Macaca fascicularis: one gene and its partners. The protein of the gene in region 1 interacts with the protein of each later gene in a pairwise test. Links are inferred from orthologs where the notes say so. Each region holds a gene or a part of one and is shown in the gene's direction. Other genes may lie near its edges. The genes, in order: ARRDC3, NEDD4L and OTUB2.

What was found.
Region 2: the proteins of ARRDC3 (region 1) and NEDD4L interact in binary tests that used the Homo sapiens proteins (3 or more experiments, as listed by UniProt). The link is inferred for Macaca fascicularis from reciprocal best matches to the Homo sapiens genes ARRDC3 and NEDD4L.
Region 3: the proteins of ARRDC3 (region 1) and OTUB2 interact in binary tests that used the Homo sapiens proteins (3 or more experiments, as listed by UniProt). The two-hybrid records come from large-scale screens. The link is inferred for Macaca fascicularis from reciprocal best matches to the Homo sapiens genes ARRDC3 and OTUB2.

The regions. Positions count from the first base shown.
Region 1 is NC_088380.1:95,372,895-95,383,108, reverse strand, and holds the start of ARRDC3 (arrestin domain-containing protein 3), read left to right. Parts: upstream 1-4,200; 5' UTR 4,201-4,425; coding exon 4,426-4,705; intron 4,706-7,728; exon of another isoform or gene 7,729-8,033; intron 8,034-8,689; coding exon 8,690-8,771; intron 8,772-10,214. UniProt on the Homo sapiens protein: Adapter protein that plays a role in regulating cell-surface expression of adrenergic receptors and probably also other G protein-coupled receptors.
Region 2 is NC_088392.1:22,603,156-22,613,269, reverse strand, and holds part of NEDD4L (E3 ubiquitin-protein ligase NEDD4-like), read left to right. Parts: intron 1-2,612; coding exon 2,613-2,678; intron 2,679-4,308; coding exon 4,309-4,538; intron 4,539-6,052; coding exon 6,053-6,174; intron 6,175-8,656; coding exon 8,657-8,727; intron 8,728-10,114. UniProt on the Homo sapiens protein: E3 ubiquitin-protein ligase that mediates the polyubiquitination of lysine and cysteine residues on target proteins and is thereby implicated in the regulation of various signaling pathways including autophagy, innate immunity or DNA repair.
Region 3 is NC_088381.1:162,049,022-162,059,135, forward strand, and holds part of OTUB2 (ubiquitin thioesterase OTUB2), read left to right. Parts: intron 1-4,753; coding exon 4,754-4,849; intron 4,850-6,337; coding exon 6,338-6,456; intron 6,457-10,114. UniProt on the Homo sapiens protein: Hydrolase that can remove conjugated ubiquitin from proteins in vitro and may therefore play an important regulatory role at the level of protein turnover by preventing degradation.

The DNA.
Region 1 (10,214 bases):
GTTCTCAAACCACTGGACTCAAGCAATCCTCCCACCTTAGCCTCTCAAGTTCTGGGATTACAGGCATGAGCTACCACACTCAGCCAGAAAATATTTTATTATAGCAAGTAAAATTTTACCCTCATTATACAAAGTTGTGCATAGTCAAAATTTATAAAATAGTTCAGAAAAGAAATTTAGCATTCCTAATTCTTTCTGTAGACAGACGCCATTTGAGCTTAGATGAATAAACCTTACCAACTCATCTTCTACATGATAATATGCACTGTCATAGCTTAACTGGCAATGCTTTTCTTTAGTTGTACATCTAGATGAAAATACACCAAAATGTTAACAGTGGTGTCTCTGAATGGACAGACAGTAGAATTATGGGTGATTTTCTTTTAATCAAGAAACAAAATATAACAGATTAAATGGTGTTCACATAACACAAATTACACTATTTATTAATGAAGGAGAACAGAATCCAAATTTGATAGTAATTTTCATCACAAAATCCATAACATATATAAAAGTCTATTAACTATGAAGAATATAGAAAACGAATCTACTCATTTTGCTAATAATAGCAAATCTTCTCTCCAGTCTGCATGCCAAATTTGCTGCACCATGAGAATATTAAAGAGTTAAGTCAGAGTTACAAAATCTCCAGAGTTAAGACCAAAGGGGAAGAAAAAACCCTTAGTTTCATAGCACTCAGCCTATCAGCTGCTAGTTAAAATACAGTAAGCATAGATTTCATATTTTTCTTTATGAAACAGATTCTGACTACTGGTAGGGTTTTTTTTTTGTTTTTTTTTTTTTTTACAACCAAACAACAAAACTTCCAGTTGAGATGGCTTCCTTTTTTTAAAAAAATAAAAATATTGAGCATGTTGATATAATATGCAAAAAACTCCAAACTTGGCAGTAATCTTGACATATCTCCTCAATATCATACACCTTGATAGCAATGATCATTTATCAGTCTTTGATAGAGTTCTTGAGATTGAGTTCAAACTTTAATATATTAAGGTGAAAGAGCCATTTGACTCAAAAGCCAAAAAGCAAATATGAAAAGAGATTCCTACTTAAGCTCTGAAGAAGCAATGAAAGGGGGATAGGAAGTTAGTTATTCAGTCTAGTTGGAATTTTACTCAGTTGTGCCAACTGCATCTAGTGGAGGGATTAGAAAAAAGCAAAGGAGATAACATAGTAGTGGGATGTTATTCTGGGCACCAAAAGCACGTGTAAGTGCACACTGGCAACAGTGAGACAAGCTAACAAAGGGGACAGAAGATGTACTTGACAGGAATATAGAAGAGTTAGCAGATGAGTAGGCGGAGATGGCATATGAGACGTAGGCTGGGGAGCAGTAGGAAAGAGCCTTGGTGGTAAAGACAAATAGTTTAAATATAATACAAAATACAATAAGGGCCCGGTGAAGAAAGCTGAGAAGCCCAAGATAATGTCTACAGTACAGCATTTCAAGCTGTCTAAGAAGTAGATATTTAGACAAAAAATCTGAAAGGGGGAAGTTATGAAAGCAACAAGAGAAAACATTCAAAATCTGGTCCAAGTGTTTTTGTTTTTCTTTTAAGAAATGAAAAGATAAAGAGAGACCAGGAGCGGGCAGCTCAGGTCTGTAATCCCAGCACTTTGGGAGGCCAAGGCAGGCGGATCTCTTGAGGCCAGGAGTTCGAGACCAGCCTGGCCAACATGGTGAAACCGTCTCTACTAAAAATACAAAAATTAGCCGGGGGTGGTGGTGCGTGCCTGTAATCCCAGCTACTCTGGAGGCTAAGGTAGGAGAATCGCTTGAACCTGGGAGGTGGAGGCTGTAGAGAGCCAAGATTGTGCCACTGCACTCCAGCCCAGGTGACAGAGTTGAGACTCCATCTCAAAAAATCAAAATGAAAATGGTAGCTGGTAAGAATTTCTTGGAAATTTGCCAGTTACCTAAGTATTTAAGAAGACACAGTAAAAAGAAAATTTAAAAAATAGCAAAATAAATAATAAAGACAACTATTCAAAAGATCCTGAAAGCTTCAAACACAAAGAATAATGTACTATACAGTAACAGGAATGAAACATTTAATATTTTAAAACAATTTTCCAAACTACAGATAAATTTCTTAGAGTTCTGTTTTATTAAATGCAATTCTGGTGTATTTAATTCTTTTTTCTGAAATAAGTTATATTCTAATTAAATAAATTTTACTAAAAAAATCTGAATTCAGCTATTGTTCACTAACCCTTAATAATTTTTAACATAAAGGTAGACACAAATGTGCAATGAATTTATGTATTCATTGTGGACTACACTTTTAAATCCATTCCTTGCTCAGTGGTTTTTGAATGCTTATTAAGTATCATTGACATTATGCTGAGGAAAAGCTGTCATTCTAGGAAATTCACCACTTCTACCACTAGGTGGAGAAAAAACACAAGTAGTATCTGTAATCAAAGCTAGTACAAGGACTCAGGTACTTTACCTAGAATTTCCACCAGGTGTCAACCAAGAGGGGGGGAAAAAGATAAGACTGTTTTTTCCACTTAAATATGCAAATTTATAATTTTACGCATAGCGATCTAAACTCTGAAATAAATGGCCTGCTCATTGTCTAGTTTGCATATTTATACTTTTTATATATTGCTGTTGAGTCCAAGATACTGCCTTGTCAACTAAAATCCAGCCCCCAAAAGCTTAGTTTCTTTTGAAATAAAGAAAACAGCAAGACCAATAAGTTTAGTTTATTGTGACTCATAGGTTCAACCTACCCAAATACACTACGCAAAAGAATCTAAAATGTTTAGACACGGACAGCCAAAAATCTTCCAAGGTATTTTTGTTCATACATATATAGAGAGAGAGAGATAGCACCAGATTCATATTTTTTCTTTCTACATTTCTCTTGTAAGGCAGTTCTGTTGATTGCCAGTAATCTAGATGAGTTTATGCTGTTATGCTCTGAATCCCAGTGTGATGTGACGAAAGCACTGCTATTTTTTACCAAACATTCACAATAAAAAGAGAAATGTACCTATATTTAAGATGTATCATGAGAATTACTACGTTAAATGGTCCAAGGCTCTTTCGGCCGAAAATTAAAGCTTCACAGTTAACCCCTATTTATATACCAAATCATGCTTTTTAAAAACAATTTTATGCGCTTCACTAATTTCTAACAAAGATTTTCCGATTCTGTTGCAAACAATATGTCAGCTAAACCACTATGTCCTATGCCTTTTATAAGATGGTACTTTTTTAGGCCGAACTCTATTCTTATTCCTCTGGACACAGGAGTTGTAATCATGTCTTACTCTGCAAATCTAGCCGTAGGTGGTGTCTTAAAAAGGACTTTTTCTTCCTTCGAGGAAGTGGTCAAGCTTCCCCCCAGCCCCCACCCGTGTCATCCTGGAAACAACTTGGTTGTTTTTCGGTGCTATCTAATTAAGCGATGTAGGAGAAAGAAGTTGAGGAGACAAAAAAGCCTATTGATTACATTGTACTTGCTTCTCTACCTCGCTCTTCAAAGGACTAAGGTTCCTTTGACCTCGACTGAGTTCATTTCCACCCTGCCTACAAAGTACTGGTTTAAAAAATATATATATATATCCAAGCCAAGTATGCTCTTGTCTATGAACAATACTTCTTGTCCAGTTTTATTACGTTTTCTTTGAAAATTCGTTAGATTATGCTCAACAATCGGCCGCTTGCCCAACCGGTTTCTCCCTTCCCCCATCTCTCTTCACACATCACTTTTTCCTCCTCCCATCCAGGCAGTTGGTAAAACGCTGCAGTGCCAGTAACGCACGCTTTGGGGTGGTCACTGCAGTTTATCCTTACTTGGCTTTGCAAACTCCCCACCCAGGCCTTGTCCCCTCGCGCCCCACTCTGCCATTATCTTTCCAGTAGAGTGTGCTCGGTAAGGGGCTCCAGATAGCACGTCGAGGGTATACGGCAGCCTGCCTACCAATAGGAGCCCACAATGAAGAGAAGTCAGGTTCAGCCGGCCGGCAGCTCCAGTATCTCCTTCCCCTAACTCTACACCTACTGTACCCGGGAGCGAGCGAGCAAGGGAGGGAGCGAGCGCGGCGCGGCGCGGCGCGGGAGGGGGCGCGCAGGGAGGGCGGACAGCAGCCGCGGCCTGCGCTTGCGCATTGGGGTTGTTTTTCACAAAGCTGCTCTTAAAGTGAGCTGGCAGCCTTTAGCCGCCCGTCTTTGTAAGGAGACCACTGAGACGAGCGGGAGCGCGGAGCAGCAGCTTCTGCTGCCCTGACTTTTTAAGAAATCTCAATGAACTATTTGTAGAGAATCACTGATCCGGCCTGCAAGCATTTTGCACGGCAAAAATATCGATCAGTGTTAAGTGAAGATCACATTTTATATGCGATCTTGACTTTTTTGTCTTACATTATATTTTTATAGATTTTGTTATAAACATGGTGCTGGGAAAGGTGAAGAGTTTGACAATAAGCTTTGACTGTCTTAATGACAGCAATGTCCCTGTGTATTCTAGTGGGGATACTGTCTCAGGAAGGGTAAATTTAGAAGTTACTGGGGAAATCAGAGTAAAATCTCTTAAAATTCATGCAAGAGGGCATGCGAAAGTACGCTGGACTGAATCTAGAAACGCCGGCTCCAATACTGCCTATACACAGAATTACACTGAAGAAGTAGAATATTTCAACCATAAAGACATCTTAATTGGGCACGAAAGAGGTAAGTTTTTCTGTTATTCAGAAGTCATTGGACTCATTTTCTTTGGAAACGTACCTTTTCAGTTTTCTGAATTAACGTGATTCTACTCATAGTATAACTAAGCAGTTTGATAAAGGTTAGCAAAGTTGGAAGGTTTGGATTCTCCTTGACGTTCATCGTGTGTTAAGCCGTAATGCATGCAGGCATCTGCAAAGTGACTGCAAACTACACTTATTCAACTACCTCTATACCCGGCTTGGTCTGTGCCATACGCGCTTGTAGTCCATTTGCACCTTATAAATTCTGCTTGAATCCAATGCAATCGTTTTACTAATATATTTTCAAATGAATTGCTAAAAGCTGCAGTCTTAGATTTTTGCCCTTTTACTTGCAACCTAAGATGTAAAAACTAAACTTCAATCAAGAAATGTAATAACATTTTTAAGAGGCTTAATGGGCGTGTTTCATTTTTAATTTTGGAATGCAAAAGACTTTAAAGAATTGATCACTGTGCTTTCATAAAAGGTTTATGTGGCTTATTTTGACATATGGTATCAACACCCCACGTGTTTTTTCTCTATTCTTTCCCATTCCTTTAAAAATTTACACCCAGCATTCCTTATTTTAAAGGGTACTGTCTGTCATTATGATAGGTATCGAGTCAGTTTTAGAAGCCATTTAGGATCAGTAATTTTCTTTTCCGAGCATCATGTCTAACTTTGGAACGTGCATTCAATGAAACCCATGCCAGTCAAATGGAATTGAAAAGTATAGGGCACACTGGATTTGATTTTTGGTTAGAAGAGGGAGATAAAGGGTTGTCAAAGGGAGAAGGAGTCCTGAGATTTCCAATCTATTGTTTAAGTGGTTACATTGTGGAAATATAGGAGAGTCTAGGCTTGTTTTTCTAAGTTTCCACCCTTTGTTAGAAGCGGTTCAATCCTGTTTCGGACCAGTTCTGGGGGGTGGTGAGGAGGGGCGCTTGTTCTGCTCTCAGCAGATTGGTTACACGCGTCAGGTGGTGGCGATGACTTAATTCCTAGCCCAAGAAGAATATAATGTTAAAACTGGTTATGTAATTTTTGTGCCTCTCCTTTTTAATGCAGTATTTAGTTCAGATGTTGGCGATTTTTCAGAAAAAAATTAGAGCCATATTTTACCTTCTTTTTTATATTAAAAACGTACATCCTGGAGAGGTGCTGATGACTGAACTAAGGCAAGTGAGAAATGAAGGATGCTTTGAGGGGCAGTATTAATGCATGATTTCTGAAACTATTAAGGTGAACTCAGTTCTTTAGTAGGATTTTCGTAGATACAGGTACTTTGCATCCTGAAATAACTAATTAATGTCTCCAAGCGTTAACACTGATAGGAGATGCAGATGCCTAATGACAGTCTTGGTATTTGTTGAAAAGCAGATAGATGAGTTTGTGTTTCTACCTTTCTGAATATTGCAGCCTTTTATGAAATGGGTGAAAGAAACAGATTTTTCTTCAAGAGGTTGAGACTTGCAATGGGAGAAAAGTAGAACAATGAGTTGTGAGGACAAATATTTCATTAGTTACACCATGATTTCATGGTAAAGAAAACTAAATGCCCTGCACCCCCAACAAAATGCCCCCCCAAACCCTGCAACGCGTAGACGAGCTCAGTCTGGAATAGTTTCAATGACTTGAAACTGGGAGCTCTCAAACTAGCCTGGTAACTGAGACCCCGCCCCGGGCGCCCGGGATAGGCGGAGCCAGGTTTGTTAGCCTGTTGCTAAGGCGATGGCAGGCGCTGATTGGATTGGGCGCGGGCGGGTGGGGAGAGGGGGCTCGCGCCGCTGCTGGGGCGAGGCTAGGAAACCGGCGTGCGCCGGTAAAGGTCCCTCCAGAGCCACCCCCACCCAGTCCATACTCACGTTTGTTCCCGGGCTTCTGGGGGCGCCCGGCCCGTGTCACATCACGTTCTATCGCCCCTCTTTTGGGCCTGCTAAGGACCATCGAAAGGAAACGACTGCAGGCTTTAGCTGAGTTGAGGGCAGACGCTCCTGCCGGCCTTACAGGTGCCGGATGGCCCGGGACCCAACTTTAGTGGAAAATCCTTTTCAGATGGAATTTGGATGGGAAGGGTTGGCAGGACCCCCGTTAGCTATCTGCCGGGTAGGAGGTGTCAGGGGACTCCTGTGAACGCTTCTGAAACAAAGCGTGTTCCCCGACCTCTCCAGTCGCCACACTGGCTACCTTGAGTTGACCTGAGGGGACAGAGCAGAGGCTGGCCCGGGGAAGAAAGAAAATGATTCCAATATCGAAATCTAGGTGGGGGCTTCGAAGGGTATCCTCTGCCCCCTCCCCCATTGTTTTCCGAAAGCTTCAGGCCCCCGCCTCCCCTCGGCCGCCCCAGTTTCCCTCGCGGAAACTAAAGGTGTCAGAGTGGCCCGAGCCAGATCGAACCGGTCGCCGGCTGGGGCGTGTAAAGCGGAAGCGCCGCGGCTCGCTCGCCCCGCCCCTCGTCCAGCAGGCTAGGTTGTGCGGGCACGGGCGCGAGCGCCGCGCGACGTATGCCGTATGTATAGCGGGGCGCGCGGGCGGCGGCGGCGGCGCGCGAGCAGGCCGGCTGGGATCTGCTCGCGCCGGTTTAGGCCGGTCCTCTCCTGCTCCGGTCTAGTTCTTGATTGACAGCCCGGCACTTGTTTACCACTGCGCGGCCGCCGCCGCTCGCCTCAATGAGACTGCTGAGCTGGCACAAAAAGGGAGCGAAGAGGGAAGAAAGGGAGAGGAAGGCGAACTTTGGGCGCCTTCGAGGGGAGCGAATTTAAATGGCCCCCAGCTCATCAGCTAGTTTTTGGTTCTGAAATCTGTTCAGGGGATTTGCACAGGGGACGAGGAAAATTGTATGGAGACATATGCGAATTACCGTGATTTTTAAATAAAAGTATCGACGTATACATGCTTTTCCCCCCTTTTCTCGTTTGATATCAGGGAGGCATCACGTTTTTTGTGTATATTCAGTACTTTGCTGAAGAAAAGTTAAAATAATATGCCAGTTTTTTCTACTCTGGGGGCTAATCGTAAAGGTTTCTACACCGAGAAAACTAAAAGATATTTCTGTAATTATTTAGAACGCTAAATAAGCATTTTAATTATCTAGAACCCCCTCCCATATTTTCGATTATATTTCTTTATTTTCATGCCACTTGAAAAACAAATTTGACCCAAAAAAATGGTTGTAAAATGAAAGGTCATTCCTTTTTTATAGAAACTGGAAACTGTTAATAATTAGACTTCATCTTCTTCAAGAATGTCCGACAATATTGTTTCCTTATAAGCAGGCACCTCCTAAATGCGGTTCTTGGTAATGATCTAAGGTATAGTTTATGCAAATTTTAATCGTTGCTAGGACTGAGTATTGTGATCACTTTAGGTCAATAAATAATTATTTTTAATTACAAAACTGACATTAAAATCAATGTGTGTGCTCTTTTTTTTTTTTTTTTTTTTTTTTTTTTTTCTCCATCTATTTGACAAAGTTTTCTAGTGGTTTTGGAGTATCTATTCTATTCACATCTTTGGCATTATTCCCCCTAAACTGACATATTTTTAAAAGGGTTGCACGAACAGTTTTTATTTGATACATTGTAGTCTTCATGCGATAAATTTAAGCAAACAGCTGGAGACAAAGATAACATTATCTTACCATGATGTGAGACCCGAGCCTTTTGAGTATATATACTATTTTATCAACAGATGCTTTACAGTTTGGGTCATTTTCCATTTAAAAAATAAAAGTCTGTGGGGTGTGAGTATTCATTATCCCCATTTTACAGATAAGGCAGCTGAAAACGGGATTTTTATTTCGTCCAGAGGAAATGATGAAGTTAGAATTAGAACTCGGCTCTCTCAGACTCCAAAGCTTGTTTTGTGGTCTTAATTATTATGTAAGCATCTTTAAAGTTATGCCACCCTGCGGAGTATGTAAATGTCAAATAATAAATTCTTTGTTTTCTTTTTATGTTTCTTTTAGATGATGATAATTCCGAAGAAGGCTTCCACACTATTCATTCAGGAAGGCATGAATATGCATTCAGCTTCGAGCTTCCACAGACGTAAGTATTATAAATAATAGGCATTTTTATACATACCCATGATCAGAGCATTACTTTAAAATTAAGTATTCTAAATTTAAACACTTTTAGTTAAAAAAAAAAAAAAAAACCCTTTTCATGACTGGAACTTGCTAGAGGAAAACAATATATTAAACATAAGAAGCTATTTTTTAATCTACCGTGGCAAAATTATAGAAAGCATACTCAAATTTCAGTCTTCTATCCCAATGTTCATGAGGTTTTTAAAATAGGAATAGTGTTTCCTTTAACATGAGTGAATTGGAAGGTGCTAGTCAAATAATAACCACTTTATACTTAGTTTATTATCAATTGTCATTATGAGAAAAGACCCTATCAAGTCTCAGTAGCTTCAATTTATAAAAAGTTCTGTGTTCCACCTTTTCTGCTAATACTAACCAATAACTAACCGATAGCAGTAAGCTTCAAAAGTAAAAATAATTAGGAATATCCTAACTTTAGAAATGTTGTTCTCCTGATATGAACTTAATAACTTCTGTACAAAGAATTATTGGGAAGGTCACACAAGAGATATGACCCAAGCTTAAAAGGAAAAATACATCAAGGATACGTTGATACAAAACTTGGAATCTAGTAAGAAAGGAAAAAGGAAAGTGGTGTATTCTTGAATTAATGACAGATTGTTGGAAGAGATTATACAAACTTTTTTTAAAAAAATAATGCCTTTTAGCAAATACTAAAACCTGCAAAATGACACTTGTGCCGATTATTCTGGAGAATAAACAGATTACATAAGATTTTGTCAGGTGACAAATGTACATAATTCTACATTTGTTAATTCTAGTGCTTGAGATGTTATTTAAAGAGAGAAGTCATAAATGGTATTTTTTAGAAAATTCTATTTACTATATTATTTGAGAATTTTATTTGGAATATAATGCCCTCATCTAATTTCTGAGAAAAATATTAAAGTTTGTCAATAGAATAACGCTAATATGGGGCCTGAGTATTTTCAGGGTCATTTAATGTTAAAGTTCTATCTGTAAACCAAAGTCATTTAACATAAACTTTGGATAATTATTAGCATACAGTTTAAGATTTTATTTCTCTGCTATATACAAGTTAATATGGGAGTCTAAAATACAAAAAAAAATGTGAAAACACCAGTGTTCCTTATACTAATCTAAGCTAGCACTCTTCCTTGTAACTAACTGAACACTGAGTATTTTACTAATGAAATTATGAAAAAGAGACTGAACTCGCTAAAATAAAACCTTTCACAAGTAAGATCTGACAGTTAAAAAAAAATTTGATTCTCTTGACATAGATCAAGAGGACTATTTCTTTTTCTTTTGAAGCCTGTAAAGTTAGAGAACAGCCAAACAAGAATTAGAAAATGAGTAAACTGAGAGATAGAAAAGTAGTTTTTCAGTAAACTTATGAAATGTGAAATTTTTGAAACTA
Region 2 (10,114 bases), on another chromosome or scaffold:
ACCTGGACAGTGATGATGTGAAAACATTTAGAACCGACTTACACAATAAGGCAGATTTTCATTCTGTACCCAAAACATGAACACAGATTTAACGCAGAGCAAAAGGGCTTTAATCAATAGACATGTTCATTTTTCACATAGACCTATTTTACAAGCTAAACTGTAAGCCAGAAAATGACATTCCAGATTTTCAAGTGAGAACAAATGATTTGGTCTACTTTAAAAAAAAAAAAAAAAAAAAAGGTACATGTAATCTCTTCAGAAGCTGCGCTGGGAGGATGTTTGTCCTGGTACATTTTTAGAAACTTTTCAGGAAGAGAATGTAGAAACTTACTCTTCTTCTTCTATCATGAGAACTACCTCTGGAGAGGAAAGATAATGAGTACAGGAGGAAGACAGTGATTTTTCAGCTTTCACACATCATTCCCCAGAAGGAGAAAGGCCTGAAATATCTTGACATTTCCACCCACACCTCCTCAGCCCCTGCCAGGAGACAGAGTAGGTGAGGGAATGGGCATCACAGGCCGAGGGCCACATGTTGAAATCTGCTCCTTGGGGAAGCTGTCATTTAAGACAGTCGAACTTGCATACATAGTGATGACTGTTTAAGCTTTTTTTCCAGCATTTTCAGGAGTAGGGGGAACTGTGATGTAACCATGATGTTTGGAGAACCCTCATGAAAACAGGAACAAACAAAAAATAATTGCTGGGAATCACAGACTTTCAGAAATAGAAGAGCCGAGTCACGTCTGTTCATCCAGTCAAATCCTTCCACTTAACAGTGAAGAAACTGCTTAGTAGAGAGAGTGTGTTGCAGAGCCAGCTGATGAGATCTACCCGAGAGTTCAGGCGTTCTAACGCTGGCAGGGGCAATGGAAGGAAGTCACTTTTTTAGTTCCTATGGGGTCTTTTTTTTTTCCTCATGGCACTACCACGGTTTATTCATTGATTTCCAATTACCTGTTGCTCTCAGCGGCTTGTGAGCTCCAGGAGGGAACTGGGAAAGCTACCTTTGCTTTATGTACTGTTATGTTTCTGGCACCTAAAATGCCTTGCACAGAGTAGGTGCTCAAGAAGTATCGGTTGAATGGATCAGAATGAACACCAGAAAGTGGGAAATAAACTAGAGAGGAAGTCTTAGTTTGTGACGTGATGTACTGTTGGTAGAGCAGAAAACATGATCTCTTTATTGGCTTATGTTGGAACATTGTATTCTTTTTCTTATTTCGGTGGTTGTCCAGTTATTAACAAATTTATACCTTGCCTAGACTCAGAATTGCTATGTGATTTCATCAGACTAAACACTGCCTAAAATAAATAGCATGTGAGGTCAAATCTGTTGTTCAGTGGAAAATCAAAGAAGACTGGCTTAAAAACTAAGAAAAGACCATAGGCAGTATAAATTGTCTATGGATTGCTCCTAAGCTATATAAAGATGGTGTATTTATTGCTCTTGAATTACAGAGCGAAACACTGACATGTTCATTTTCTGGAAGAGTGGTGGTTTGTGTTGTTTCGGGTTAGTTTTTTATATAAACATGTCTTAAAACTATAAAGAAGGGAAGTTCGTGTTCTTCATTTCTTCTCTTTCTGGTCAAGATAAGTATGGTAAAAGTGTAAGGTTTGGAGTCTGGAGATATCAGACTAAGCATCAGTATATTTTGTTAACTTAGGCCAAAATGATAACAGCAGAAGTATTCTCTGCTGAAATTCATACTAGTGTCTAAAAAGCAATGAGTTGTTTTCGAGGCTGTCATAGTTAATATCTCTGTATATACAAAAACCAGTCCTTTTAGCTTCATAAAAATATCGTTAGGCTTTTTCAGTAGCCAAAAGTCAGGGCTCTGACTCTTAAGATACTATAAGCCACTTTACAACATAGGAAATAAAGATTATTTAAATGACTATATTAAGATGTTACTCCTTTGCCTGAAGAGAAATCACAGCTTTTGAATGAGCATAGTTAATTCCTGAGCCCTCAACTGTGGTACCATCACTCTGTTTCATAGATAAAGCATTTGAGATTTAAGAAATCCTTGCCCAAGACCACTAAATATTAAGGGACAAACCTTCTGACTCCTAAATTGAGGATTTTTTGAGAATGCCATCTGCCTGATTTTATACTCCTTGATAGGAGTGTCAGTTCACTTCCCTTTCTGCTCATTGTACTTCCCCACAAAAATTTGTTAAATCATAATTAGACTTTTCCAAATGCCAACATAGGTCGTTCTGGGGTTGTATGTTAAAAGTATCTAGCCAATAACTGTCACCTAAACCACAGCAAAAAAGAAAAACAGAAGCACCCTGACTCACATTCTGACAAAAGTCACTTGGAAACCATGTTTAGTTTGTGCAGCATATCCCTAAATGGTTTCCCAAATGCAGTATAGCTGTTTTCAGGGGTGAAAGCCACACTCAAAGCTGATTAGTCCTCATCAGTTCTAGGACTTTCCCCTGTGCTGTGTAGACATGATCTGATTTTTCCATGGATAATCTGAGAAGTGAGAATTTACGGTTTATGATTCATGAAATTCTCTTGAATGTTGCCTAAGTATACATAGAATTTCAAGTGTATTGTTTGCATTATCTATATTCATAAATTTATCTTCCAGGCTGTTCCTTACTCCAGAGAGTTTAAGCAGAAATATGACTACTTCAGGAAGAAATTAAAGAAACCTGTGAGTAATCATGCCTTCCAAAAATGCTTTGTGTTAGTCATTTGTAAGTTACCACAGTTACTTCAGTGAGAACAACTTGGTTGTTACTTTTAGATGAATGCTAAAAATATTACCTTCCTTTTCTCACTGCACTTTGATCCTCCTGGTTCTGAAATCTGAATTTTCTTTTTAACAGAAATGGTAAGTGAAGATTAACTCAGTATTATGTATCAAATCACCTGAAGGGTAATTTCGTATGTAATACATAAAAAGACAGGAACGATTTTTATGGGATATGAAATAATTCAGAACCCTAGTCGCAAAATCTGGGGAAACCCATTCAGTTATGCACAGTTATCATATTTAATAAACCTGGATCCCAGTTAGAAAAATGTTCAGGTCCTTCCTTGCAAATGCAAAAGCTTAGTTTCAGCTACAATATTTATAATATAAAGTTATATTTAATTATAGTAATTGGCAGTACTAGGTGCAAATGTAATTTTCTGCTTATAATTGTCCCTGGCAGTTTCAAACCTAGAAACTCTAAAAATTTTTATGGGCAGTGTTTTAAATTATAACATTAGATTTTCTAATCACTCACCACCCCCAAATTGTTCAACATTGCATCTTCTGTTTTACTTTCCAATTCCTCCTTAGCAGTTTTCTCTTTGGTTTTCTCCATCACTATGGTTACACCTCTAGGGAGGGGGGAGAATCAGCTGCAGCTCAGACCCCCTCCGGTGGCCTGGGCTCTGTTGCCATTTCTCCCTGCCTCCTCCCCTCAGCCGGTTCCTCCTGCCCAGGACGTCTCTGGATGGGGCACAATCTCTGATCTCATTTAGGAGTTTTGGTCTCTGTTCCAAAGTCCTGATTCAAGAGCTCATGGATAACTACTATTGAAATGATTATTTGCCTTCAAAACTTAGATGAATACTAAAAATTCCACAATTTTCTTTGTGAGTCACGTCCCCTGGTAATGATAATGACTTTGTGGTCATCACCCAGGCTCTCTGACTCTCACATAGCAGTGTCTGCTACCCGGAAAACATCTCTGCAGTTTCATTCTTACAGCCAGACCAAGCCTGGATTGCCTCTTTGCAGGAGGCAGCTGCCGCAGCCTTGGTCAAGCGAACCATGCTTTGGGCTGCTTTCCCCACACTTGGCATAATCAGGGTCCCGCTCCCCATGGCTGCAAAATGGACTTGAGGCACCGTGGATTATATCTACCACCTCGCGGCCCTGCCAGAGTTGAGCATGGCCCCAGCCTGGCCAGGTGGGGATTATTACAGGTTTTGATTACCTGGGCTAAAGTCTCTTGAGAGAAGCAACAGGTACAGTTGACTGCCTTTCAGTTGCCATATGCTGGAGGAGTGCCCACAGTTGTTTATTAAAGGGGGTGAGGAGGCTGTTCTCCTTCGCAGCAGAGTTTCTGACTTTCCTGAGCATCGCTAGCGGATGCCGTGTGTCCATCGTGACACAGCGAGGCTTTCTGTCTGCAAGGGAAAACCCCTGAAGGAGAGACTCTCAATTGGAACCATTTGTCACTGCTCGTTTCTTTGAGGACTGCCAACTTTCCTACCCTTGGTTGTTGTTTTTATTAGAAAACAAAACGTGTATTTACTGTGTGTGTTTTCTTTTGTCTTTTGTGTAGGCTGATATCCCCAATAGGTTTGAAATGAAACTTCACAGAAATAACATATTTGAAGAGTCCTATCGGAGAATTATGTCCGTGAAAAGACCAGATGTCCTAAAAGCTAGACTGTGGATTGAGTTTGAATCAGAGAAAGGTCTTGACTACGGGGGTGTGGCCAGAGAATGGTTCTTCTTACTGTCCAAAGAGATGTTCAACCCCTACTACGGCCTCTTTGAGTACTCTGCCACGTAAGTATATGGCCACACCCAGAGTGTGTCCCCCACTGAGACAGTTGTATGAATTTAAACAGAATGAAAGAATAAGCAGCTCACCAGTTCAAGATGCAGTAAGTCTGTTGAGTTTATTCTCTCCTCACCCCACAGCCCCTTGCAAGTCTAGAACAGGTTCTGACTCTACCTGGTGAAATAGTGTACTCTGTGAACATCTAACATTGATTTTTTTTTTCTTATCTAATGGGTTCATGGAGTTGAAATTGAAAACGTGGATAATTGTGGTAAGGAATAGGAGGCGATTTTCATTTGCAGTGTTCAAAAGGAGGACTTGTCAGTGTTAGAATGCAAAAACAAAAAGGTGTTTTTTGAACAAGAGTTGTTTCCGAGGTCTCTGGGTAAAGGCAAATTGTAAGGACTTTGAGGACCTAGGACCATGCCCTGCTCCTGTGAGGAAAGAATCAGGTTTCCCCTTGCATTAGGATTTCATCATTGCCAGGCTTGGAAACTGAGGCAGACTAAATTGCTTTCTGAGCAACCAAAGATCGGCTACTTCCAGGCCAGCCATTCCTTCTTCTGAATCCTCCAAGGGTTAGGCTGGACCCAAGCCCTCAGTAGAATAGTCACTGACCTTGCTGAAGGGTATTTATCATCACTTTAACCCTGGGCCCTAAGGGGACGTGGGTTCTCCCACATCTCCCATGTGGTACCAATCTCCTGGGGGCTCATTTGGAAGGCAACCTCAGTGCATTCTTCTCAGTTGCTCTAGCCAAGAATTGCCCAGTTGGTCTGTTGTTATTATTACTGAGTCCCATGAGAAAGCCCACTATGGACAATTTATCCAACTACTGAAGGTGGAGGGCAGGGTGGGGAGAGACAAGATCTTTACCTCTCCTCCACATTTTCAAAGATACCCCCCTGGAGGAAACTGTCTGTGACCCCGGTTGAAAACCACTGATCCACATAATTGTGAACCAAGCAAGGTCATTTGGACAAATCTAAACACTTGCAGGTTTGCCTCATTGAGAGAGCCATATCCTGTTCCTAATCCCCTTGAGGCCTTTTCAGAGCAGAGTAGTGGTCAGAAGACAGACCAAGGGTTGGGCCCATAGCATACATCTTATGGCCAAGCCAAAAGCCTCTGGAAGGAATTAACCTTCCTTTATCACAGACACGACCTAAAGTACCCACATCATTGGGAATGCCTGCACAGCCCCTTTATTATGTGGAGTTTCTTATCTCCCCAAGATATTTGGCTGAACCATAGGAAATAGACACTTTGTGGATCAGAAACAGTCAAACATCAGCAGTTTCTTATGGTTTAATTGACTTTAAAGTACACATGCATCAGCTTCCATGGTGGGTCATGGTTGAGCAGGTGGTAAGTCAGGTCCTCTAGCCCACACCTTTTCCCACTAGGTACAGAATGCTTGCAAGGACACTGTAGAAATTGAGTGACAGGTGGCAAAGAAATATGCAAAATCTTGCATTTGAAAGTGTGATTGGTCTTTTCTTCTCTTTCTCCTCAAAAGGGACAACTACACTCTTCAGATCAACCCTAATTCAGGCCTCTGTAATGAAGATCATTTGTCCTACTTCACTTTTATTGGAAGAGTTGCTGGTCTGGCCGTATTTCATGGAAAGCTCTTAGATGGTAAGTCTTGAAGTAATAAAAATAGGTCAGTGCCGCTTGTGGTTTGCTGGTAGGTGTCTTATCTTTTGCATCATGAGTTTTTAAGCAAAAGCTTCACTGGTTTACTCATAAAGTATTTTTATGTTTCGCCCATAATGGATGTGCTTTTCTCTGGTAGCTTATTTTGGGCACTGAAGACATAATGTCTACACACAGTTAAAAACAAAAGTTTTTTTTTTTAACTTCATTGTAAAGCACAGAACATTATGTATTTATACATTTGTATGTTTTCTGGAATAACTTTACTGAAAGCAAGATTTGATAACAGATGGAAAAACTAATTGAAAAGTTAATTAAAATGATCTCATCCATCTAATATTGTGTGATTATTGCATTTGTCCCCAAATTATTTTTTTAATTTGAAGGGACTAAATAATTTCAAAATAATGTTACCACTCAGCTAAGACATTAACCCTGAAACAAATAACACAAAATAATTTCATTCTTATTTAAAGCATGTAAATCATGGAAGAATTTCAAGGTACCTTGAAAGTTAGAAGTCAAACCCTCTACCTGGCATTATCTATAGGCTTGGAGACTTCTAAAAGATTTGGCCAATTCAAAATAGCGTCCTTAAGAAAACACTACAGAAATCATCAGTAAGGAAAAAGCATCAGAAATATTTTTTAAGAGCTTGGAGGTAGAGTGGTTGAGGATGGGAAGAGGGAGAGTAGAATTTGAGATTAACATTGCAATAACTTACAAGAAAGATATTTCCAAGGGAACTGTGTTCATTGCATTTATGGAGCCCTAGCTATTCTAATAAATAATTTGTATACCCTCTGTACTTTTCCCATGAATATGTTTTTACTGTTAATTGGTAGCTGATATTGATGCTCTGATTGTAATGCTTTATTTGGTGGGAGGGTGACAGTAAACACTTTTTTTCCTCTAGAAGGAAACTAAACCACATACTCTTTCCATGTATGTATAGTGTGAATATATTTTAATTTCCAGCTTTGTAGTCTTGCCACAGATTATTTCAGCCTGCTCAAATTCACTCTAACTTTCTCAGAAGGTCAGTTTAGTCACCATATGCAAGTGAGAAGATGCTGTTAGTTGCTACAGCGTCTTTAATACTCTCTATAACAGGGGGTATTAGAGAAGCACAAGATATGATCCTGACCTTAGTCAGCTTATATTTTAGTGGGGGGAAAAGAGATGAGAACAAAACCAGAAGAATCACAGTGATAGTGTCCGAGCAGAAGGGAACACATTGAGTCCTCAGAAGAGAAAGTGACTTGGCCGGCGGCTCGGGGAATCTTTCCCAGGAAGAGCTACACCTCGGAGGTGGGGTAGCATTTGAGCATTCAGAGGCTGGGATCATTTCAGATGAGTGAGGACTGGCCCAGAGTCCAGGCTCTGTGGAAGGAGATGGGCAGAAGCAAGAACCAGGGTCTCTAGGAGCTGGCTAAAGTGACCCCCATGAGAGTGATCACGATATAAACCTGGAATTGCACATTTAACAGTCCACGTGCACATAGATGGGCCTAGTCAGCAGTGTCTTCAAATTTCCCACAGATGGGAATGTCCCTGTCGGCAGGGCTCATTCTGCACATCTGTCCACTGCGCCCCCTGGTCGGCTTCATGCTTTTACTTCCCCAGACAATGGAGTCTGTTGGAGCCTTTATGGGGCCACACTGAGCCGGGGAGAGTTGGCCTGTGCTGCAGAGGGTTGGTGCCTGGTGGGCGGATAAAGGAGCAGAAGCAGGAGCCTGGGGTGCCAGGTCTGGTGTGGTCAGGGCCCCCTTTGAGGAGACGTGTGATGCCTTTAGATCAGGTCAAATGGAGGCCCCTGCAGGATGCCTGCATGGGGGGAGGTCGACCTCGCTGCTGTTGCCTACCTGAGGCCTCTGCCATCCCTCCCCGGGAGGTTACACAGGCCCTCTCCGTGGCCTCCCCCATTTCCAACCTGTCTCCTTCCTGTGCTTTCTCCCCATCGCTGCCCGAGCAATGATAACAAAAGACAGATGGAATTTCACCTGGTCTTCATTGACTCACCACTGCCCTCAGAGAGCACCCCAACTCTCCAGCACCCCATGTGGGCTGTGCACTGCCGGCCCCTCCTCTGGCCTGTCTACCTGCCCTGGCAAACTGCTGGCGAGTCCCCAGGCTTGTGGCTCTGCTTAGTGTACCCTTTTCTTCCCCAGTTCCTATGCCTGATTTGCACTGTGGACTCTGCTTGACCTTGAAGCTCATCTGTCACCTTCCAGAGGCCTTTCTGGCCCCACTCTGCTGCGCCATCTCTCTCAGCGCAGCCGCCCTCCTCTTGCCACTCTCCCCCGATCTCGCCGCCTCACTCGTGCAATACTGCAGAAGGCCGTTGGTTACTCCATCCTGGTTTCTCATTTACATTGAAAGCCAGTTAATCTTTTCTTTCATGCTCTGATAACGTAGCAGTATCAAAGACCTGAAATTAAACCCAGTGTTTACCGTATTTTAGGTTTCTTCATTAGACCATTTTACAAGATGATGTTGGGAAAGCAGATAACCCTGAATGACATGGAATCTGTGGTGAGTAAATGCAGGTCACACACTGGCCATCACCAGGCACTTGTGTCTTATGGGAAGGTATTGGAGAGCCATGTTTGTAGTCTCAGCCACTTCTATGGGTGTTGCATTCCATGTGAACAACAGGAGACATTTAATTGCTTGAAAAGTTCATTGATCTGTCTAATTCTTGTAATAAGTAAATATTATTGTTCACATTTCCTGGGACCATGGTACCTAGGGTGGATACATCCAAATCCCAGTTGCCTCTGCTTACCCGGCACAGGACTCGTGTGAACTTACTAAATCCAAGAGACAGCTGAAGATCTATGGTAGCCTGTGTTTCCCATAAAAACTGCTGCTACTGAATGTTTAGAGCTTCATCCACTCTCCCTCTGTTTCCTGACCTCATAAAAATGGTAGAGGCAAAGGTCAAAACAATAGGAAGAATATCAGGCAGACATCCTAGACATGGATGAGTGACGCCACAGCTCAGACAAGTGAACACTCGAGACGTTCTCCAAGTAGTGATTTGGGTTTTCATGTTGCATTTAACATTAATTTTACCTAGACCATTTTAGAGTTGGAAGGATTTTTTTTTTTTTTTGAGACGAAGTCTTGCTCTGTCGCCCAGGCTGGAGTACAATGGCGCGATCTTGGCTCACTGCAACCTCCGCCTCCCGGGTTCAAGCGATTCCCCTGCCTCAGCCCCTCAAGTAGCTGGGATTACAGGCACACGCCACCATGCCCGGCTAATTTTTTTTTTTTTTTTTTTTTGTACTTTAGTAGAGACAAGGTTTCACCATGTTGGCCAGGATGGTCTCGATCTCCTGACCTCGTGATCCTCCTGCCTCATTCTCCCAAAGTGCTGGGTTACAGGCATGAGCCACCACGCCCGGCCAGGATTTTCTACAAAACAAAAATTGATGTTCTTCTTATAATATACTTCCGCTTCTCTTTTTCTTTTAATGTACCTATACCCCACATCTACCTCCAGAGTGTATGCGTGTTTGCCCACACACCAGCACACACATGGGCCACTGGGAAGCGTGTTTGTCCATTTGGGGCATTTGCAGCACATTCGTGTTTGCTCACTTGAGTTAAAAAGCCCCATGACGTCACCTGGCTGTGATACCAGCTATATCTTGGGCACGGTTGGGTAGATGAGCTGTGTCCTCGGCCCTGACCAGTGCTGACTCAGTGTTTCTGTTCCTCCTCGTATGAAAGGAGAGGAAGAGGCCAGCAGTGCCCTTGAATCCGCCGCTGGTTTGCCAGTCATGGTGGGTTGGGTGCACACCTGTGATTCCAGTCTCCATTTTCACCTTGTATTTGTGCTTTCTGCTGCTTCATCATACAGTGATGAAGAGCATAGCATACATCATATATCATAAAGAGCATAGCAGTTTCTCTT
Region 3 (10,114 bases), on another chromosome or scaffold:
TTCTTTTCTTTTTTTTTTTTTTTTTCTGAGATGAAGTCTGTTGCGCAGGCTGGAGTGCAGTGGTCCGGTGGTCACGGTTCACTGCAACCTCTGCCGTCTGGGTTCAAGTGATTTTCCTACCTCAGCCTCCCAAGTAGCTGGGACTACAGGTGCCCACCACCATGCCTGGCTCATTTTTGAATTTTGAGTAGAAACGGGGTTTCGCCATTTTGGCCAGGATGATCTTGAACTCCTGACCTTGTGATCCGCCTGCCCCGACCTCCCAAAGTGCTGGGATTACAGATGTGAGCCACCACACCCGGCCCTATGTAATATTTTCCCTTAACTTGGCTATTTTAAAGAGCTTAAGTAGATTTGTCAAAAATGCAAAGTTTATGTTAATAGAGCAAGTGGAAACCTAACTTGACTTTCCTGGCATAGGTGCCACCCTTGTTCCTAATCCACCTTTAAATATTCCTCATTTTAACTGGTTTTGTTTGTTTGTTTGTTTGTTTGTTTTTTGAAATGGAGTATCGCTCTGTCGCCCAGCCTGGAGTGCAGTGGCATGATCTCGGCTCACTGCAAGCTCCACCTTCTGGGTTCACGCCATTCTCCTGCCTCAGCCTCCCAAGTAGCTGGGACTACAGGCACCCGCCTCCACATCCAGCTAATTTTTTGTATTTTTAGTAGAGACGGGGTTTCACCGTGTTAGCCAGGATGGTCTCGATCTCCTGACCTTGTGACCTGTCTGCCTTGGCCTCCCAAAGTGCTGGGATTACAGGCGTGAGCCACCACGCCAGGCCCCCTCATTTTAACTGTTGATGGCAGTTTTCTGCATTGAAGTACTTATCTCTGCATGTTGAAGATTAATTGCTTAAATCCATTCCACTCCTCCGTTGATTACCTTCTCAGACACTGCAGAGGAAATGTAACAGATTTTGTGTCCTCCTTCCGCCATTTTGGTTTTGGTTTTGGGCAGTCCACACACCAGCAGTATTAAATATAGTTGTTCTACTGTTTGATCTATGATTTAAAAAGACCCAAGCCACCATTTTAAGTCAGCTGTCTATAAAAACAACAAGACTTTTATATAGTATAAACAAATTGTTAGATAAATAATGAGACTTTGAAATGAAGTCAGAGCATGAGTGCAGAGCAGGTGCGCTTGCTTTTCAGTATTACCTGTTTGTCCTTCTACCATCGACGCAAGGCAGCAGAGAGCGAGCTTTCTTTCTGAAACGTACAGAATCCTATGAATATTTGCTGTATTAGCACGCAGTTATGAGTGCCAAATTAATTGTACAACTAGCAATTGTTATTATGCTAGTAATGTCAATCTTTCATGATTTAGAATAGACAAAAACATGTTAACTTTTTATAAATTTGCCTTTGAAGTCAATAAATCTGGCTTGGTTTAAGTTAAAAGAAAAAACACAAATGAAAATGGAATGATTTTAAACTCCGAGTCAGAGGCCTGCCCAATCTGGAGAAGAGAGACTAGCAAAGTAGAAAGGAGTTCAAGGTATGCTAGAGGCTGTCTTTCTCCTTGACACGATTAGAAGACTTGAAGGAAGTGGAAAGGCAAATCACTTTCCTTCCAGATATCACTGATGTATTTTACCGCCGTGTCTGGATATTGCCTGTAAATCGTGTCCTGTTCCACCTGTGATGAGCATCTCTTGGGCTTGAAAACTCTGTTGTGGACACTGAGCCCCCAGGATCAGAAGCTGGATGGAGAACTTTCCTGGGGGAGGCCTCAGGGGCAGGAGGTCGGGACCTGGCCTGTTGATAAGAAGGCCCTGGGCTGCCCTGCATGGAATGTCCCTTTGTGTTTAGCAGCCTTGATCCCTCAAGACCTCTGCGTTCTGCCTACCTAGCAGTTTGGCATGGTAGAATTTCCATGGGCTTCAGAGTCAGATAGATCTGCCTAAAATTGCTTCTTAGCACAGGGCACGTGACCTTGTCAGTAGAATGGGCATAATACCCATCTCAGGAGGTAGTTGTGAGGATTCAGTGAGATAATGGGGACATGTCAGCCTCTCTCCCCGAGCCTAGCACATAGTATGTGCACAATAATGGCACCTGTTATCACCTCATACCTCTTGGGCCTAGGGTAGCAGATCGCCAGATCATCTTCCATGTGTTGACTTTCAGCCTCACACTCGCAGGGTGGCTGCTGTAGACATTGCATCTGCACTAACGGCGGGAAGAAGTAAAACACTCCCATCTCTGTTCCTTTTATCCAAAACCAAAAGCTTCCCCAGAAGTCCCCAGCAGACTTTTCATGGGTCCAGCTGGCCAACCTCAGCTACCTGACTGCCCATAGCTGCAAGGGAAGCTAGGAAAATGGGAAAGAGGTAGGATTGTTGTGACTTACCCAGTCATTTTTCATTGTGTTGTGGGATTCCATTAGTGGGGAGGAAACGGGTCGCGGCTGATAAGGCAGAAGCCCTCGGCACCTGCCCCCAAGTGTTACCTGATTCCTCCTGATGGTTTTCCTGTTGCTTTGCCAGCCCGCACTATGATGTCAGGGCAGAAGGAAGGAAGGAGTCTGGGGCTGGATTAATTTAGCAAACAAGGGTGGGTACAGCATGGAAGCTTCTAGAAGCAAAATCCAGAATCCCTTCTTCCAACCCCCCAAGTGTTTGCATGCCCTGTTTCCACTTTCGGAAGCATTCTTCATCCAGTTCTTCTTCTTTTTTTTTTTTTTTTGACAGAGTCTTGCTCTGTTGCCCAGGAGTGCAGTGGTGCGATCTTGCCTCACTGCAACCTCTGCCTCCCAGGTTTCAGAAATTCTCTACCTCAGCCTCCTGAATAGCTGGGATTACAGGCACGTGCCACCACACCCAGCTAATTTTTTTTGTATTTTTAGTAGACACGAGGTTTCGCCATCTTAGCCAGGCTGGTCTTGAACTCCTGATCTCGTGACCCACCCACCTCAGCCTCCCAAAGTGCTGGGATTACAGGCATGAGCCACCGCGCCCGGCCAGCCCATCCAGTTCTTTAGGACAATGGATTCATCCTCTGTTTTTAAGCTTTCTTCTGGGAAGTTGCCCTGAATCCCATGTTTGGGGGAGATCATGTTTGGTGCCACCAGAAAGGGAGAAACGGAATAAAGTGTAAGTTCAAGGGAGAGCCCAGGACCGACTCAGATGAGGTGAGGAGATCAGGGAGGCTTCATGGAGGAGGTAGCTTTTATGCATTTGTTTGAAGAATATCTCACCCCCTGCTCTGTGCCAGGCCCTTGGTGAATGGAAGATGGCAGACAGTATGACAAGCTGTCATCCAGGCCCCCTAAAAACACCCCTGCCCAGTCCCAGCTTCGCCCCTGACCTGATACTGGATGCAGGGTCAGGGCCAGATGGAAGTTTGCAGTCTGTCCCATGTGGAGGCAGGAGCAACAAAAGTCATTGAGGCCTCATTATCCAGTCTCATGGTCCAGCTTTCTGCTTCTGTGTGCTGAGCTTTGGAAAAAGCTAATCATCCAAAATCCAGATCTATTTCTTCAGGTGAAGAAAGGGGTTTGTAGCGTCAGAGGACTCCTATCTGAGCAGGATGGTATTGGGTTGAGATCATTATCTAGTCAGCGATGAGGCTGAGAGGCTACCAGGGAAGGCCACTGTGGCCAATGTGACATGAAAAAGGCCAGTTACAACTGCATGTCAACAATGATGGTGATAAATGGATGGAAAACTAGATTTCTATTTACAAAAATCCCAATTAACAGTGACCATCCACAGTACTCTATTGCATAAAAATGGTCTCCTCTGGTTGTGTGCAGCAGCCAGCCTCACTTGTTTTAAGCTATAAACTGTAAGTGGCTTTAACACCATTTCTCTCACAGTATGTTCATGCCGCAATCAAAGCGGCTTTGGGTGGGTTGGAGGCTAGAGATGCAGCTCTCGCTTGTTTGAGCCCTGCTGACAAGATAGCACAAGGCGGAGACCAGGCCCACGGGGAGCTGGCTGCTAGAACGAGGTATCTCCTGCAGTTTCCTTCACCCCGAAGCTTCCTTTTGCAGTTGCCTCCTCCCGGCCCGCCAATTTCTTCGCAGGCCTGGAGAGACCCTGCCTGTAGGAGGCTTGTCTTTCTGGGTTGGAATTGAGCTAGACCTAGAGCTGGGTTGTAGTATAAACTTTCTCCGCTAGGTGGTGCATGAAGATGCCCTCCCGCCCTGTGCTCCCTGAGCTCAATCTCTTGACACCTTCCCTGGCATCTCCGTGTACCAGTGCCACACAGTGCGGCCTCTTCTGGTGACCTTATCACCCCCTATCTTGATTGTTTTTCTCTGTAGACTGTGAGCCTTGTGGGTGGGGGAGTGCTAGACGTTCCTCCTTCTGTATTTCCAGCATGTGACACAGTGCTGGGCATGTGGATGTTCAGGAATTGTTGGATGAATCAAAGAATGAATGAATGAATGCATGAATGAGAGAGGAGGGACGGAAGGAGACAAAGGGCCTTATCCTCAAGCCTGAAGGCTCATTAGGTTCGAGGTACACATTCTGTGAAATGAATCAGGCTTCAATAACAAGATGAGTTTCCTTATAACCAGGGCTATCTCTTCACGATGGCCCTGACCCTGACGATCCCTGTCCTAGAAATGTGGCGATCCCAACAGGCGTCTAGGATGTTGGTAACATACTCCCAGCATGAGAAGGTAGGAAGGTCCCATTCATTGTTGTCTGTAACTGGCAGTTCAGAGGCCACCAGCTTGCGGAGTCCCATCCGTTGCTTTTGAAATTGTCACAGTATTTCTTCCTTCCCTATCTTCCAGAGTGAAACATCTTTCAACCTAATATCAGAAAAATGTGACATTCTATCCATTCTTCGGGACCATCCTGAAAACAGGATTTACCGGAGGAAAATCGAGGTGAGGCAGAGGGCAGGGAGAAAAGCATCCTAAAATAAACAGGCTGGAGTTGGGAGTGTAAAGGTGATGCCTCTTTGAAGGCCAATAGTTTGGGCCAGGTTCCTGGGCAAATGAAAGGATTCCTAGGATATTTCGATGTTGGACATTTGCCTTAGCAATACATCCTTTCATTCCAAAAAAAAAAAAAAAGGATTTTTTGTTTAAAAGTTTAGCACTATCCTAATGTTTTATTTACTCACTGAGACTTCACTACAACTCTGTGAGGTAAGTACTTTTATTACGCCCATTTTACAGCTGAGGAAACTGAGGCACAGAAATTAAATTGTGGCCATTTAGCTCATGAGTGGCCAAGCTGGGATTTAAATCCAGGCAGCCGAGTCTCAAGCCACATTCGTAACTGCTGTGCCAGGAGACCTCTTGGAGGGAAAGTGTACTCCAGTGAGGCTAAAGGGATTTGTGGGAAGGCTGCAGGGATCGCTCACGGAGCGGTGACCCGTGGGTAGCCGGAGGAGCTGGGTACCCACTCTGTCCCTCTGGCAGCAGGCCCCGGCTGCTCTCTGTACTCTGCAGGACTTCCTTTCACTGCAGGACAGGCTTGCTCTGGCACTGGCCCCACAGGCCCTTCTCTTTGAGTTCCTCTCAGACACGCAGCACCATTGCTGGACCCCGTTACTTATCCTCAGAGACTCTGATGGGTCCAGCTTGGGTCAGATGTCCATCAGCAGCCAGGGGTAGTGGTGTGGGCATCATGTGATCGGAACGCCGCTGCAGGGGCACTTCCAGGACAGGAGCTGGGCTCTGCAGCCCGCTGATTTTCGTGTCTCCCGGAGCCCTCCTGGGAGAAGAGCCAGGGGCTCCAGAGAGTCCCTGCCTCCCCACTGCCAGCTGGCCTCAGGTGGGCCCAAGTCAGCTCTGAGCCTTCTCATGGCTATGGGGGGAACACGAACTCCCAGACCCCTTGAAAACCATCCTCTGCTGTCAAAACACTGCTTATAGTCCCATGAGGCAGGAAAGGGGATTCCAGGCCAGTTCAGAGGGACACCTACTTATTGCTAGGAGTGGAGCTGGAGCCTACCCCTCCCTCCCCTGCTCACACATGCAACCCCCCAACCCCTACTTCTGCTGGCTCCCGATTCTCTGTGCTGCTCCCCCAGGAAGGCTTCCCCAACTTCCAAAAGCCAGTGCAATGCCACTGCCCTGTGGCACCCAGCCGTGCACTCCTTCTGTCCTCACAGTGCCACTGTCTAACTATCTATCTTCCCTCCCGGACTGTAGGCTGCCGGGGGGCAGGGACGGACACACAGGACAATGCAGTGTATTTTTATATCAGGGGGATGAACGAGGGTGGGAGGCTGAGGGGATAGCAGCCTGAAGGGAGGGAGCAGGCATTTCCTGGGAGAGATGGGGGGCACCTGGCTAGTCCCAGCACCTAAACCACACAGAGCTATTATTGGTGCAAATGCCCACATTTCTTTCTGTCCCCTTCAGGAACTCAGCAAAAGGTTCACCGCCATCCGCAAGACCAAAGGGGATGGGAACTGCTTCTACAGGGCCTTGGGCTATTCCTACCTGGAGTCCTTGCTGGGGAAGAGCAGGGAGATCTTCAAGTGAGTGCCGGGGCCCCTTGGGCTCTCAAGGCTATGTTCTCTGTGCTAGGTCAGCCCCAAGTCTCTCGGAGGTTTTTGTTACACTCGGGCTGGTTAACCCAGAGAGTGAGCTGAAGGGCTGCCTGGCAGAGGCGTTTGATGTTGGGGGAGCCCAGCTGCCTGCTGTGGTGGAGTTGGAGGCAGCCAAGGGGTGGAGGATGGAATCTGTGGCCTCCCAGATGCTTTCCAGCCTCTGCTTCCACCACAGGCCTGGGTCAGCCCAGGTAAGTCGCGTGGAGCAGGTGCTTCGTGACCCAATCTGAAAAAAGAAAACACGAACAAAAAGAAGCTTTGCCCCGGTGTTCGGCATAATTCCTGTTGACCTTGGTTTAGAGTGTGTGTGACCCAGGCATTCAGCTGTCTGGGCCTGGCCCTGAGGTCATGCTGGAGAAGGTCTGTGTCCAGAGCTGCCCCTATCCTCTCGGCTAGTTCAGGGTTTCTCATACCTGAACATTTGTACAAGGCCCCTGATTCTCTAGTCCATAGCAAGATACAAAAAGCAAAGACAAACAAACCCCTGAGACCTGGCTAGGACGCAAATTCCTGTTCAGGGGGAGCAGGGCAGAGCCGGGACTGCTTTCGTCACTGCCTCCCAGGAGATGCTGATGCCGCTGGGCCTCAGACCACGCTTTGAGGAGCAAGGAGCTAAGAGACCCACCTGGCTCTTAACCTTTGGGGGTCTCAGAGCCCTTAGAGGCTTTGGTGAGGGCCGTGGGCCCTCCTCATCTGAGACCCGCACCCAAATGCCCTCTGGAAACAGTACGGGGGGCAGTGGGTCACAGAGCACTTCTTTGGCTAAGGCAGGTTTCTCACCAGCGGCATGACTGATGTTGTGGGCTAGATCATGCTCATGGTGGGGGCTGTCCTATTGTAGGCTCATTAGCAGCATCCCTGGCCCCCACCCATGAGATACTAGTAGTAACCCCTTCCCCAAGTCATGACAATCAAAACTGCCTCCAGACACTGCCAAGAATCTCCTTTCGGCGGAAAAAAAGTTGACCCTATCTGGTTGAGAACTACTAGGTTAAGGCCATCATCTCCTGTTCAAAATATAGATGATCTCAAAGAGGGTAGAAGTTGAGCCATCTATTCCTTGGCTGAACCGTTCAGATTGTTTCCCCAGTGACAGACTGGCAGAGCCCCTTATGATGAAGAGTCAGCTATCTCAAGCCATTCCCCTCCCCAACTTTCTCAGAGCCCTGTGGGAACCAGCGCAGCACAGTGCAGGGATTATGACCCCAACGTCATTTCCCTATGACCCATGTGCCCTGGAGTTGTGCCACGCAGCAGCCCTGGGCTCTGAGGTCAGACCTCACTCTCTTGCTTACTTGCTGTGCCACCTTGGGCAAGTGACCTGACCTCTCTGGTCCTCAGTTTTCATGTCTGTGGAAGGTGGACATTATAACACACTTCAGGATGCTACTGTGAGGACTCAGTGGGTGATGCTGGTCAAGCCCAATGCCTGCATCTCTCTCTGCACCAGCCCACGTGCTCTGTTCACCTTTCCTCTGTCCTGTCTCCCTGCTCGTCAGCACACACGGGTGCCATGCTCAGACCCTGCTCTAGGCTGTGGGGATACTGCAGTGAACAAGAGAGACAAAAATCCCTGCCTTGTGGGGCTTGCGTCCTAATGGGAGAAGATGGACAGTACATGAGTATCATGTTTGAGGTGTCAGATGGTGATAAGTATTGTGGGAAAAATCAAGCAGGAAGGAGGCCGAGGAGTGCAAGGTCTGGCGTTGTCTGTTTCAAGTAGGGTTGGAGAGGTAAGGGCGGCAGGGCACATAGCACCTCAGGCCTTTCTAAGGACCTTGGCTTTCAGCCTGAAGGACGCGGGAGCCACCGAAGGATTGTGCAGCACGGGGACCTGCCCTGCTGGCTGCTGTGTGCAGGACAGATGGGGGCGGAGACACGGCCAGGGAGATGTGGTTGGCGAGAGATCCAGAGGAGGAGATGGCCGTGGCGTGAGCAGGTGGATGCAGTGGGCATGGCAAGAAGTGGGCAGGTCTAGACACCTGTGGAGGTGGCAAAGACAGGATTCGTGCCTGACTCACATGTTGGACATGGCAGAGTCAAGGATGGTTCCCAGAGATTTGGCCTGAGAGTTAGCAGGATGGAGAAGCCGTTTGCTGCAAGAGAGGGCTGAGGAAGATCAGGAGCTGTGTTTTGCGATGCTGTCTGAAATGTCCAGGAGTCATAGAGTGGGGGTGTCTGGTGGGCACTGGAGGTATGAGGCTGGCGTTCAGCAGGCAAGCCGGGGCACACAGGTGGTAAGTCAAACCACAAGGCTGCATGAGACCACCAGCATTTTCTCTTCCTTTTTTTAAACATTTTCTTTCTCTCTTTATTTTTTCTTAAGAGATAGGTCTTGCTATGTTGCCTAGGCTGGCCTCGAACTCTTGGGCTCAGGCGGTCCTCCCTCCTCAGCCTGCATCTTCTTACACAAAAACCGAGACCATGTCACTCACAGGCTTGAAATATGCTCCTGACCTCTAGGAGCAGTGGAAACCCCTGACACCAAGGCCCTCCACACCAGGCCCCTGCCCCTCCTACCCCATTGCCTGCCCACCCTGAGGTCTAGGCACAAGGACCCATTTATCCCACACATACCAGAGCTTGTAGGCATGACATGCCGCCTGATGCTGCCTTGGCCTAGGTAGCCCTGCCTCTGACCTGGCTGTGGGTTCTTCGGGCCCCAGGCAGGTTGCTTCACTCACTCCTCTGTAGCTCCTTTCCCCAGCTGAACAGTGGCCATAGCCCTGTCATGGACATTAAGTGATTGACTCGTGAGTACTTGGAACACTGACTGGGGTGTTCTGTGCTAGCTCTGATTGTCTGCATCATGCATCCTCCACAACCTGCTGTCTCCTTGTGTGCAGCGAGCCCAGAGCCACCCAGGCAGACACTTGTTCTCTGCTCAGTGCTGCTGCAGGGCTGGAGCAAGCGTGTTGCAGCAGTATGCTTGTTCCAGCCCTGGATCTGGCATACTTGCTCTAGAAGTATGCAAAGTACTTCTGTGTGCCAGAGGCTTGGAGAACACGTGCTTCCTTTGAGGGCAGCCACTGTTACTACCCAATCTTACAGATGAGCAAACAGAGCCTCATAGAGGTCAAATGACTTGCCAGAGGTCCCACACAGGCTTGTGTGCAGCCCCAGCTGTCTGAACTTGCCCCCCTGCCGAGCCCCAGTGCCATCCTTCCCCACATCCCTGGCTTGCCTCTTGGGGGTGCATGTCCTGGCCTGGGGGCTTGCCCCCTTCTAACAGGGCCTGTGACCGCATGCTGCTTATCTCTGTGTCCCCAGTGCCTGGCACAGAGGGGCCCACAAGTCACTGGCAAGGAAAGAATGTGGAATGAGGCAGAGGTTTGGGGGTGGGAGTAGGGGCAGGAGAGCTGGGAGCAGAGCAGTGCACTTCATGGCCATGCAGGGACAGAGTGGTCCGAAGAGGGTGCGGGCCCTTGGAGCGGCCCTGGAGGACTGCAGCTGCTTCCTGGAGCTGCTTCTAGTACTCTGGCCATGGGCCACCTAGGCCACAGCTCTAGACAGAACGGGGGTGCTGATGAGGGTGGCTCCTGAGCGAGAGGCATTAGTCAGCACTGACCATCAGATCCTTGCCGTG